Linked DNA regions of Drosophila melanogaster. The gene in region 2 interacts genetically with the main gene of each other region. Each region holds a gene or a part of one and is shown on either strand. Other genes may lie near its edges.

The links.
Region 1: of pio (region 2) and gammaCOP, changing one suppresses a phenotype caused by changing the other (phenotypic suppression), as found in Drosophila melanogaster (one study listed by BioGRID).

What each region holds. Positions count from the first base shown.
Region 1 is NT_033777.3:31,570,477-31,576,430, forward strand, and holds gammaCOP (coat protein (coatomer) gamma), read left to right. Parts: upstream 1-1,666; 5' UTR 1,667-1,762; coding exon of another isoform or gene 1,763-1,802; 5' UTR 1,803-1,969; coding exon 1,970-2,680; intron 2,681-2,777; coding exon 2,778-4,248; intron 4,249-4,324; coding exon 4,325-4,510; intron 4,511-4,568; coding exon 4,569-4,721; intron 4,722-4,779; coding exon 4,780-4,910; coding exon of another isoform or gene 4,911-4,967; 3' UTR 4,968-5,231; downstream 5,232-5,954. UniProt on the Drosophila melanogaster protein: The coatomer is a cytosolic protein complex that binds to dilysine motifs and reversibly associates with Golgi non-clathrin-coated vesicles, which further mediate biosynthetic protein transport from the ER, via the Golgi up to the trans Golgi network.
Region 2 is NT_033778.4:24,579,406-24,584,546, reverse strand, and holds the start of pio (piopio), read right to left. Parts: upstream 3,303-5,141; 5' UTR 3,179-3,302; exon of another isoform or gene 2,707-3,178; 5' UTR 2,469-2,706; intron 1-2,468. Other genes in the region: CG4681 (uncharacterized protein), read left to right, coding at 4,949-5,141.

The DNA.
Region 1 (5,954 bases), on a different chromosome or scaffold from region 2:
GCACACTAACGAATGCAAGTGCTTAGAGATTCATATTCGTACTTATGATAGGTATGCAGGTTGGCCCACACACACACCAGTCGGCCATAAAGCTGCCAATGGCCGGCCGAGAGCAACTGACAGCATCAGCCTTGTGGAGTCACAGGCCACCAGCGGATCGGGATCTCTACTTCCATCCTAGCGAAACACCAAACCCTGAGTATCCCATCCCCGCCCGCATTCCTTGCCATTTGCACGCAAAGCTAACTGCGGATTACAGTCGAAGTTCGATGGGGGACAAGAAGATTCCGAAAGTATACACCACTTGCTACTGCTCGTCGAAATCATTCCTGATGTACATTCATATATAGGTAATCAATTAGGAAAACTTTGAAACACGTCTGTTTGGAAATCAGAACAAACCCAGTCTTGGTACAAGAGGTACCCCAGAATGAATGACGCTGTTGTGGGGGAGCGTTGCACAAATTGGAGTTCTACTGTTGGCTGGCATCCAGCCTGAAACTCACCTGTGGCTCACTCCTTGCGTGCGCCGACGTCTCAACTCTTGCTCCGACTTTGGCCTTAGGTTCGCTCCGACTTGGCTTCAACTTGGGATTCGTGGCTTTGTAGGTGTTTCCAGGGGCCACAGCTGATGCCTTGACAGCTACTAAATTCTCCGCCCGTCTGACGCACACGTTCCTTGTCCAATTTTGGGCACCAGGCGGATTTTCCTCCTGGCCGGCGCTTATCGCCTGGCCATAAATTCATGCTGTAGGTGTCTCGATCTTTTCGGTTTCTTTCTTTTTTGGCTTTTTAGCGTTTTGGCGGAGGTCCTCGCCTCGTGGACACGCAATGAAGCTGTTTCTTCGTGCGCCGGAATTTCCCCGCGGCATGCAAAATGCAATTAACGGCACTTGCAGTGCGCCGGAAATTGACAATTCAATATAATGGGTTCCTTGTTTTCGCTAATTGGTGGTGCTTATGCACGCATAAATTAAGTAAACACAATACGAAGTCGTATTTAATTGGTCAAAACAAACTAGAGCTGACAAAAAAGCTGGCGTCCATTTTGTTAACAGGATCAACACTCGATTAAATTAGGAAAAGTAATCGGTACTTAACGGTCACGAGATCTATCGATCAGAACTTCCCCTCCAGCAAATCATAAATGTACTAATAGCGTATATTATAAATATAAACGAAGTTATTATCTAACTAAAAATTCATCGCATTGATCAGCCTTCGCAATCTTCGTCACAATTCCGGCCAATGCCCATTTAAAAAACGAATCAAACTAATGGTAAAAAATTATGAAAATGTAAATAAAATTTAAAACATTATTATATTCATACAATTTCTTAGCAATTTCGTTATAAAGTTAACGTGGAGCAAATTCAAAGCTTAGCTATTTTTCCGCCCATTCATAATCGATAATCTATCGATAAATACAATCGAACCAGTAAGTGAATCTCAACTAGTTCCTTTTCAATCCAGTGAAGAAACAAGAAATTTTAAGAACAAAAAAAACTACCAGATCTCGGTGTCGAGTTAATTGAAAACTGAAAGTTATAATGTGCAGAATCGGCGAATATATACTGCCTACAAAACGCAGAAAAAAGGTTGTCTTTTAAAGATAAGAACAACATCGGAGCTATCGATACTTAACTGGAGTTTTCACATCGATAACAGATGAACCAACTGGGCACCGCTGAGTGACGTGTAAGCGCAGCCAGAAAACCATTTCAATTGTTTTACCCACAATTTAACCGAAAGTTGCAAGACAATGGGTTCGTTCCGCCGCGAGAAAGATGATGAGGAGGACGGTAAGTAGCAAGCTAGCACCTGGAGCCAAGTTGTCCGCCGACCAGCGAAGCCAATCGAAGACAACCCAGTTGCTTGAAGGTGCTCCGCTGGCACAGACACACACTCACACACCCACTAACCCGACAAAGTCGAGAAAAATCGAGGTTTCCCTAAATTGACTGAGAACATGAACTATTTTTCCCTTACCTCGCACAAAAAACATCGCGGCCATCCGTCAGCAGGACCGAGCAATGCGTACCAGAACCTGGAAAAAACCTCGGTGCTTCAGGAGACGCGCACCTTCAATGAGACGCCGGTGAACCCAAGGAAGTGCATCCACATCCTGACCAAAATCCTGTACCTGATTAATCAGGGTGAGCAGCTTGTGGCCCGCGAGGCCACCGACTGCTTTTTTGCGATGACGAAGCTCTTCCAATCTAAGGACGTGGTGCTGCGTCGTATGGTATACCTGGGCATCAAGGAGCTGAGCTCCATTGCCGAGGACGTCATCATCGTGACTAGCTCGCTAACGAAGGATATGACCGGCAAGGAAGACCTGTACAGGGCCGCCGCAATCCGGGCCTTGTGCAGCATCACGGATAACACCATGTTGCAGGCCGTGGAGCGCTACATGAAGCAGTGCATTGTTGACAAAAACGCGGCAGTTTCTTGTGCTGCATTGGTCAGTTCTTTGAGATTGGCCAACACTGCCGGCGACGTGGTCAAGAGGTGGGCAAACGAGGCCCAGGAGGCTTTGAACAGCGACAACATTATGGTACAGTACCACGCGTTGGGTCTGCTCTACCATATCCGCAAGTCGGATCGGCTGGCTGTCTCCAAGTTGGTCAACAAGCTGACCAGAGGATCTCTAAAGAGTCCCTATGCCGTTTGCATGCTGGTAAGTGAAGTCTGAACCCAAACTTTTCTTAATGAAATGGATATGCACTTATTCCCTTTAAAGTGACATCTGACTAATTTCGTTTTACATCCCCCAGATACGCATTGCCTGTAAGCTGATCGAGGAGGAGGACATTCCCTCTGAGGAGCTTTCCGATTCACCCTTGTTTACGTTCATCGAGTCCTGTCTGCGCCACAAGAGCGAGATGGTCATCTACGAGGCGGCCCACGCCATTGTCAACCTCAAGAACACCAATCCGCGAATGCTATCGCCGGCGTTCTCCATCCTCCAGCTTTTCTGCAGCTCGCCGAAGGCAACGTTGCGCTTTGCGGCTGTGCGCACGCTTAACAAGGTGGCGATGACGCACCCGGCTGCGGTGACCACCTGTAACTTGGACCTGGAAGGTCTCATCACGGACTCCAATCGATCGGTGGCCACTCTGGCCATCACTACGCTGCTAAAGACCGGCGCTGAATCCTCGGTAGAGCGTCTGATGAAGCAGATCTCCACGTTTGTGGCGGAGATTTCCGATGAATTCAAGGTGGTGGTCGTGCAGGCCATTTGCGCTCTGTGCACCAAATATCCGCGCAAGCACACAGTGCTGATGAACTTCCTCAGCGGTATGCTGCGCGAGGAGGGTGGCCTTGAATACAAGACCTCCATAGTTGACACCATCATCACGATCATCGAGGAGAATGCGGACGCCAAGGAGTCCGGTTTGTCGCATCTGTGCGAGTTCATCGAGGATTGTGAACACGTTTCACTGGCGGTGAGGATTCTTCACCTGCTGGGCAAGGAGGGACCCTTTGCGGCCACACCCTCCAAGTATATACGCTTTATCTACAACCGCGTCATCTTGGAGAGCCCTATTGTGCGAGCAGCCGCGGTCACGGCCATGGCCCAGTTTGGAGCATCTTGCCCAGCCTTGTTAAGCAATATCCTCGTTCTGCTGGGTCGTTGCCAGATGGACCCGGACGACGAGGTGCGTGACCGTGCCACCTACTACCTTAGCATTCTTAACTCGGAAAGGCCAGAGCTGTACAAGAACTACATCATCGAAAGGGAGAACTGTTCTCTGGCTCTGCTGGAGAAGTCGCTGGTCGAACATCTGAATGGTGACGTGGACACACGCTTCGATATTTCCATTGTGCCCAAGGCGGCCATAGTTAAGCCAGTTATTGCCAACGACGTAATGCTAGTTACCAGCAGTGCTCCACGGCCGCCGAAGATCACGCGCGAGGAGGAGAGTGCTGCACGTCTGGCACAGCTGCCGGGCATCCAGGTGCTGGGCCCCATCCATCGCAGCACAGCTCCCATCCAGCTTACTGAAAGTGAAACGGAGTACACGGTGCAGTGCATCAAACACATATTCGGCCAGCACGTGGTCTTCCAGTTCGATTGCTTGAATACGCTGTCCGACCAAATCCTTGAAAATGTGCGGGTGGAACTCACGCTGCCGGAAGGATTCACAACCAGGGCGGTCATTCCATGTCCCAAGCTACCCTACAACGATCTGCAAACCACTTTTGTCATCGTAGAATTCCCGCCCGACGCCGCCAATTCCATAGGTAAGTTTATAAATAACATAAATTTTGTATTAAAATCATACAACTTTTTTCAAAACGAACTATTTCCTCATTTCAGCCACCTTTGGTGCCACTTTACGATTTGTGGTCAAGGACTGCGACCCCAACACCGGCGAGCCGGAGTCAGAGGAGGGCTATGACGACGAGTACATGCTAGAGGATTTGGAGCTGACGGTTGCCGATCAGATACAGAAAACCAGAAAGAACAATTTCCAAGTGTCCTGGGATGCGGCTGACAGCGAAGGTGCCACAGAAAGATAAATAGGGTCTATTCAATGATTAGTAATACTCTATATTTGCAGAATGGCTACAAGCCGAGGATACCTTTGTGCTGTCGGCAGTGACCACCTTGCAGGATGCCGTCAACACTATAGTCAAGATCCTGGGCTTGGGCGCTGCAAACCTCTCTGAGAATGTGCCCGAGGGTACGCACCTGCATACGTTGCTCTGTTCAGGTAGGCATCCTTCGCTTTTAGTTCTGAGATCAGTAGTACAGTTTTTCCCCCTTTACAGGAACCTTCAGAGGCGGCGCCGAGATTCTTGTGCGGGCCAAGCTGGCGCTTTCAGAAGGCGTCACGCTCAATCTGACGGTGCGCAGCACGGACCAGGACGTGGCGGAGCTGATAACGGCGGCCATTGGATAAGACAGCGAGCCATGCAGGAACCTCCTTTGGTTCCTGCGTGCTGTGAACGTAATCTGAACTCCCTACGAAACTACGAAACAGAAAGTTACGCCTAATCAAAATATAATTTGTACCTTTAAGCGACTGTCTCTGTAATAATCTTAGAGCCCTGTCCACAATCCGGCATGTGCAACATTGAGTATTGCTACTGGCCATTTCCGAAAAGTTTGTGTGGCGATGCAGCCTTCGGTGTGCATCGCATATGTTTATTATCCCCATTTAGCCTGTGCATTTAGCTTAAGTATGGAAACAAAATATTAAAAATACATGTATATGCAATGCAACCCGACCTGAAGGCGTTTATTTGGCAGGTGCTTTTAAAGTAGGACATTGAAATGATTTTAATGATTGCAAGCTCGTGGAAACCGCACCTCCAAAGAGAAATTGCTTCATAACTAGAACTTACTTTATTTTATATGGTATTTTATTTAATTATAAATAACTTATAGTTGCAGTAGCCTAGAGTACTTCTTGTTTTCCTATTTTTACAAATTTCTTTTCTCGTTTGAATCGTTTATGTTCGCTGCGTCCTCCACATTCGTCTTAAATTACAAATTAACCTTTCTCACATGAATTCATAATTTCTTGTGCTTTTGTTCGCAATCGATTCCTTATTATACATTCTCCGATTCCGACTATGCTGAATATTTTTGTGTAAAATGTATCGACGATGCAGTTCCATCAATCGTTCGAAACGCTCTTCCGTATTAAATATTTAAAATGTAAACGCACACAAGTATAAAAATAATATAGATTCGTAATAACAAATAACACACTCATGCAGTTCGCAGCAATTTCACAATGATAATTTCATTTCGTTACAACTCCTATACTCATCTCCAAATGTGTTGAATATGTCATTAGATATATGTTTATATAGTTACGAGTGGTTGGTTGTCTGTTGTGTTTCATGCGGATTTCTCGCCAGGCGAGTGGTATTCGATTGGAGATGTGCACCATCATCCCGCCTGGCCTGCTCTTCAGATTTATCCATTTTCTTTTATA
Region 2 (5,141 bases):
GCTGGGGTTTCGCGTCTAGAAGTACTAAAAATCCAGCCTCCCAGCTGCTCGTACATTGGCAGCTACTGCTGGTCAGAATCAGCCAAATTCATCATTAAAACTTATTCATTGAGCCCCCTTTTTTTTAAAGCTAATTATTGTTTGTGATGAGGGACTCGACTGATGAGTTCGAGAAATGGGCATTGCTTATTAATGACAGGCCGAGCTGACCTTACGTTTCCCATAATAAGTTTATGCAAGTTTCCTCGGCTCAGTACTTAAGTAACTAACTTTTGAGGAGGATTTCCTCTAAACCATAAATAGTCTCGTACTTGAAGTTAATGAGCGTAGAACTTCACTGAGATAAATCACTTGTAGTGTCATAAATGCTAAACTTAGACATTGATATCATAGACGATCGCTACTATATTACAATAATTTATTTATCTTATATCTTAGTGTCTGAGAACTTAACACACCAAGTATTGGCCACAGTTCTGTGCCCACTTCCTTCGAGCACAGTCCGCAGTTCAAAAGTCTTGGCCTGCCACTCCCCTTTTAAGGCTTGGATTTGAAAGTGTTTGGAATGAATTGAACAACCTCGTGGTCGGTCGACTGCAGTCGCGGGGTTTTGCGTGGGGTTGATCTAAGGTAAAAGCCTGCATTTAAGTCCGCTTGAGTTTGCCAATGTTGGTTTAATTCGCCAGTGGTGGTGGAGGAGGCTGGAGAGTGGGGGATCAACTAGCCAGACGACTTTTCATTTTGGCCGAAAACAAACAAGCAACCCAATGCAGAGTGTCCGTTTAACGGGGGGCAAGCGAAGCTTGTGACTCACGGCTGGGTTTGGGGCACGCCTTTCGCTAGCATTTGGGTTTTTGCATAATTAGTGCTGAGCGCCAACGTGTCGTATGAGTAATGCAGTCGCGAAGTTCGTTGCCTAAGTCTTTCGTTTCAACTGTAAATCAATACCAACGAGCAGGCGGAAATCTAACGCTGAAAAGGTCTTGGCCTGGTTGAATGACCTCACCATTTTTGGCGCTTTCTTTGTTAGTTCTTCCGCGGGAGATTATAAATCAATCACACAGCTTTTGGCAATCAAGCCCACACGCATTTCTCGGCTTAGTTCATAAACCCCCAAAAATCCGTCATATGTCTTCACTTCTCTCACTTAGCTGAGCACACACATCGCCAGGCAGCAAAATAATACGAAATTATACGTACAATCATATTTTCCGTCTTTACCTTATTTTGTGCCCGCTTCAAGGTCACTGCGAGTTGTTGTCTGGCTGTTATATAAACAAGTTAACTACACGATGGCTCAGAAACTGGTATTCGAGCAGCTCGGGCGCAGATTCGCCTTTTAATTATACAAATTTTACGCTTGCGTTGGCGTTCCTCGACGCAAAGCTTTCCGAGAATGCCGGAGAACTTGGAAATATCCAACAGAAGTTGGAGATAAACGCCTTTGGCGGATGAGCCATTATTCACTAGTCAAGGCGTTGTATTCAACGCAGATGAAGACCATTACATTGGCCAACTACAATATTTTGATGGCTAACAAACCACAAATTAACCAATTAATAGGCCATGCATCACCGAAAAGGGAAAGGCCGTGCATCACATTCCCATAGTCCAAAGATGATGCAAGTGTCGGATCGGGATGGGTTCGGGGTTCATCTCTCCATCAATCAACATTTCTAATTGCTTCTTTAGACGCCAACCCGAACACAATGGAACGAACATAATTATGGCTGTGTGATCCGTGGAAGTGCTAAAAGTTCCACAAGGAGAAGAACCCGGTCTCAGCTCATGTGGGTAATGTTGGGTCAGCCAATTAGCAACAGATTCTGGCTTATAATGGCCGCACACGGAGTGGGGGTAAATGTGAATGGACCTTTGATTCCAAGAGCCCGATGACACATTACTTATGCGGTGCGCATCCAGAAATGGGCATTGAAAAACGGGAAAGAAGGCAGGAAAAGCGGATGGAAGACGGATGTCCGTGATGTGGCTACTCAAATAGCCAATTGCCGATGGCCAACCCCATCGCGGCCATATTTGTGTCCCCAGATGATGCAACTGGCTGCGAACTTGGCAGCCAACATCGGCCACTGGCAACCTTGGCAAACAGGTTCAGATCCCCGGACAGATGGCTTCTCAGGCCGCTTTTCAGATAAGGCCCATTTCATTTGCACAGAAAACAGATTGCAACGCTTCTTCAATTTGTTCCCCCGAGTACAAGTATTGGTATTCCGTGAATTCCGAATTTCGAGCGAGGCGAAGTGAAGCCAACCGGTTTGGCTGATGGATTTTTGGCACATCCACAGCGTCGGCGATTTATGAAGTCATCTTTTAAGGCTGTTTTGGGTTTGTTTTTGCAAACGGCACAGCTTTGATTTTCTGCCTGATTTTAACTGTTTCTTTTTGCGGGTTTCGGGTTTCTGGTTATTCGATTATGGCTTTTCAAACAGCAACTCCGCAACACTCACCTCTAGCCAACTTCGCCCTTTTTGCGTAATCCAATTTGTTATGTGTCCGTTGTTGCGATTTCGCTGTGCCTTAAACTGGTTGCCCGGAACGATGATGATTTTAGATATTTTCACGAATTTTGGTTTCACATTAGTTTGATTTTGTTTTTATGTACTTCCTAAGTGTTTTTTTTTTTTTTTGCGGGCTTCCTCTATAATTATTTCGTTTTGTGGCCAACACTCGTTTTACATGTTAACGCTGCGGGAATTGCACATTTAAGAGTTGGCCAAGAGTGGTAAAGAGACGCTAAGAGCTGCTCTTTGTGCGAATTGTGGCAAATAATCCGAGCTGTTGTTGTTGCTGCTGCTGCTGCTGCTATTACGCCGTCTCAACACAAAAGACTGAGGCAACAAACTTCCCGACACTTTTGCACTTCCCCAGAAAACAACGCGAAATATTCAAAAGATTCACAAATCATTCAGCACGTATTTACTGGCCCGGTTCAACCACCCGTCGAGCTTAATCGCTTCCCAAGGGCAACAACAATCAGAGAAAATCACGACAGAAACATCACAGGCACAACAGCAACAACCGCAACTATTTCAAATCTCGGAAACCCATGAACGTCTCTTGGAGCCACGGAAAGCCGTTTCAAATCCACACGCACGATCCAATTAGAACCGGGTAAACGGAGCCATAACCGCAGAGCTACGCCACTCGAAAAACTCACGCACGATTCGGGATCGAAACGAATCGGAATAGCAATCGAAATCGAAGCGATGGGATCGATGGGATAGAGGTTCGTTGAGCGCTGTGGATGTGTCTCGCACACCGACCTGGCCAAGACTGACTGGGCCCGAAACCGAGCCACTCGCACTCCGACGAAAACGCCAAGACGATGGCCGACAACCGGTCTTGCCAAGATTCGGAGTGGCGGCGCTCTGGGATTTTCGGAGCAATTGGCAAGTCTATGTGCGCTCTTCCGACGATCTCTTCACTAAGGCATAGTATAGTATCGCCTCAATTGGCGGTGGCCGCGGTGTCGCTGCCAGTTTTACAGCAGCAACACGTCGTCCAGCTGAGCTGCACTTGATGACCGGCGGGACTGGCGGCCACGCTCCGCTGGCTCCCTTTAATACACCTACGGCTGCGGGTCCAGATTGTCTTTCTAATGAGTGCGGCATAATTAGAGGGTCGGGCGGCGGTCATCCCATATCGCAAGTGTGCACATAGAGAAACATTGGGCTGGAAACCTCAACAAAAAACCCTATATTCCCTAGCTAAGGTTTTTTTAAATTTAAATATTTTTTGCCATATTCTTTAATGTTTGTTTGTGATTAAAATTTATAAAAATGCTTTGATTCGAAGCACTCTAGACTAAGTTTCCAAGTATCCAGGTGGTATCCAAGTGTCTTTGGAGCGCCTCCAGGCCAACGTCATGCTTTCGGCCACAGCTGTGCGCTCGCAACTGGAAGTCAGGTTCTGCTCAAACTTGGCAGCAGATCGGTGCAATTATGGCCAGTGTGTGGGCTGTCACCAGAACACCTTGATGACGGCATATATGGCCACTGGTGGGGCTGACTGCTTGGACTGACGAGGCTTCTCTGTGGGACACATGCTGCTCTTCTTTTGTTTTACTCGGTAGGCACATAAATCTTGAACTTGTCTCTACATTCTGTGAACCCAGCGCCCTTGCAACCTCGAGATCCCAGGTGCGAGTACAGGTAGCTGTGACACCTCGGAGACCCCGAGTTGTTGTTACTTTCTGCCGTATTTCCCTTGAAGCTGCCCGTCGCTGTTTATACTTTAGTTCTATCAATATTTATTATTATTATGCGTGTTCCTCTGTTTCGGTTATACATGTGTGGGGAAAACTTGGATGAAGTGGACGAATTATTCTTTTGAGACGTGAGAGAATTCTACAAGGACTGGGATGGGTAAATCCCTCACCATTTGGCATTATAGGTACTTTACACAAATAAAATATAAGCATATATTTATGAGTGGAAATTTTTTAAATAATTTAAAATGTATTATTTATTTATTATATATTTATGTTAAAATAGTTAAGCAAGCTCTTAAGAGCATGGCCTGCCCACCTTATTGACTATAAATAAATTTAAATAAAAAATTTTCCAACTCCTCAATCCGTCGAAAAGGGGAAGTCCAAGCGACAGTCGTCGGGGGGACAATCGAACAAACCGAAAACCACCCCATTGAACAGCAACAGGACATGGAGTTCCGGAGGGACCAGGCCGATTCCCAAAAGGCGGCCGGGGGATTCAGGACTACGTAGCCGGGGTAACTGTCACTGTTTGGCGTCCGGAAAATTTATTAACTCCAGCCGAATTTATAGTATTAACCTTGATATAGCCGTGTGGAGCTACTAGCAAATTAAATCTGAGAAAAATTCAATGTGTGTAGATTGTCCAGGTCTTTTATCAAATCACAATCGTTGTTGCAAGAAACTTAGCCACCGTCCTCGCATCGACCCACCGTAATGGCCGAGCTTCTGTCCCGCGAGAAGGAGCTCTTTAAGATAAACCAGGAGCTGAATCTCCTGACCCTCAGTCCAGCTGCCGACGCCATGTATCCGGCAAAGGGGTCATCCAAATCCACGGCGGTGGCGGTGCCGCGCTTCGCCACCTTCCAGAAACAAAAGGGGCCGAGCAGCCTGCTCCGGAAAAAGGGTG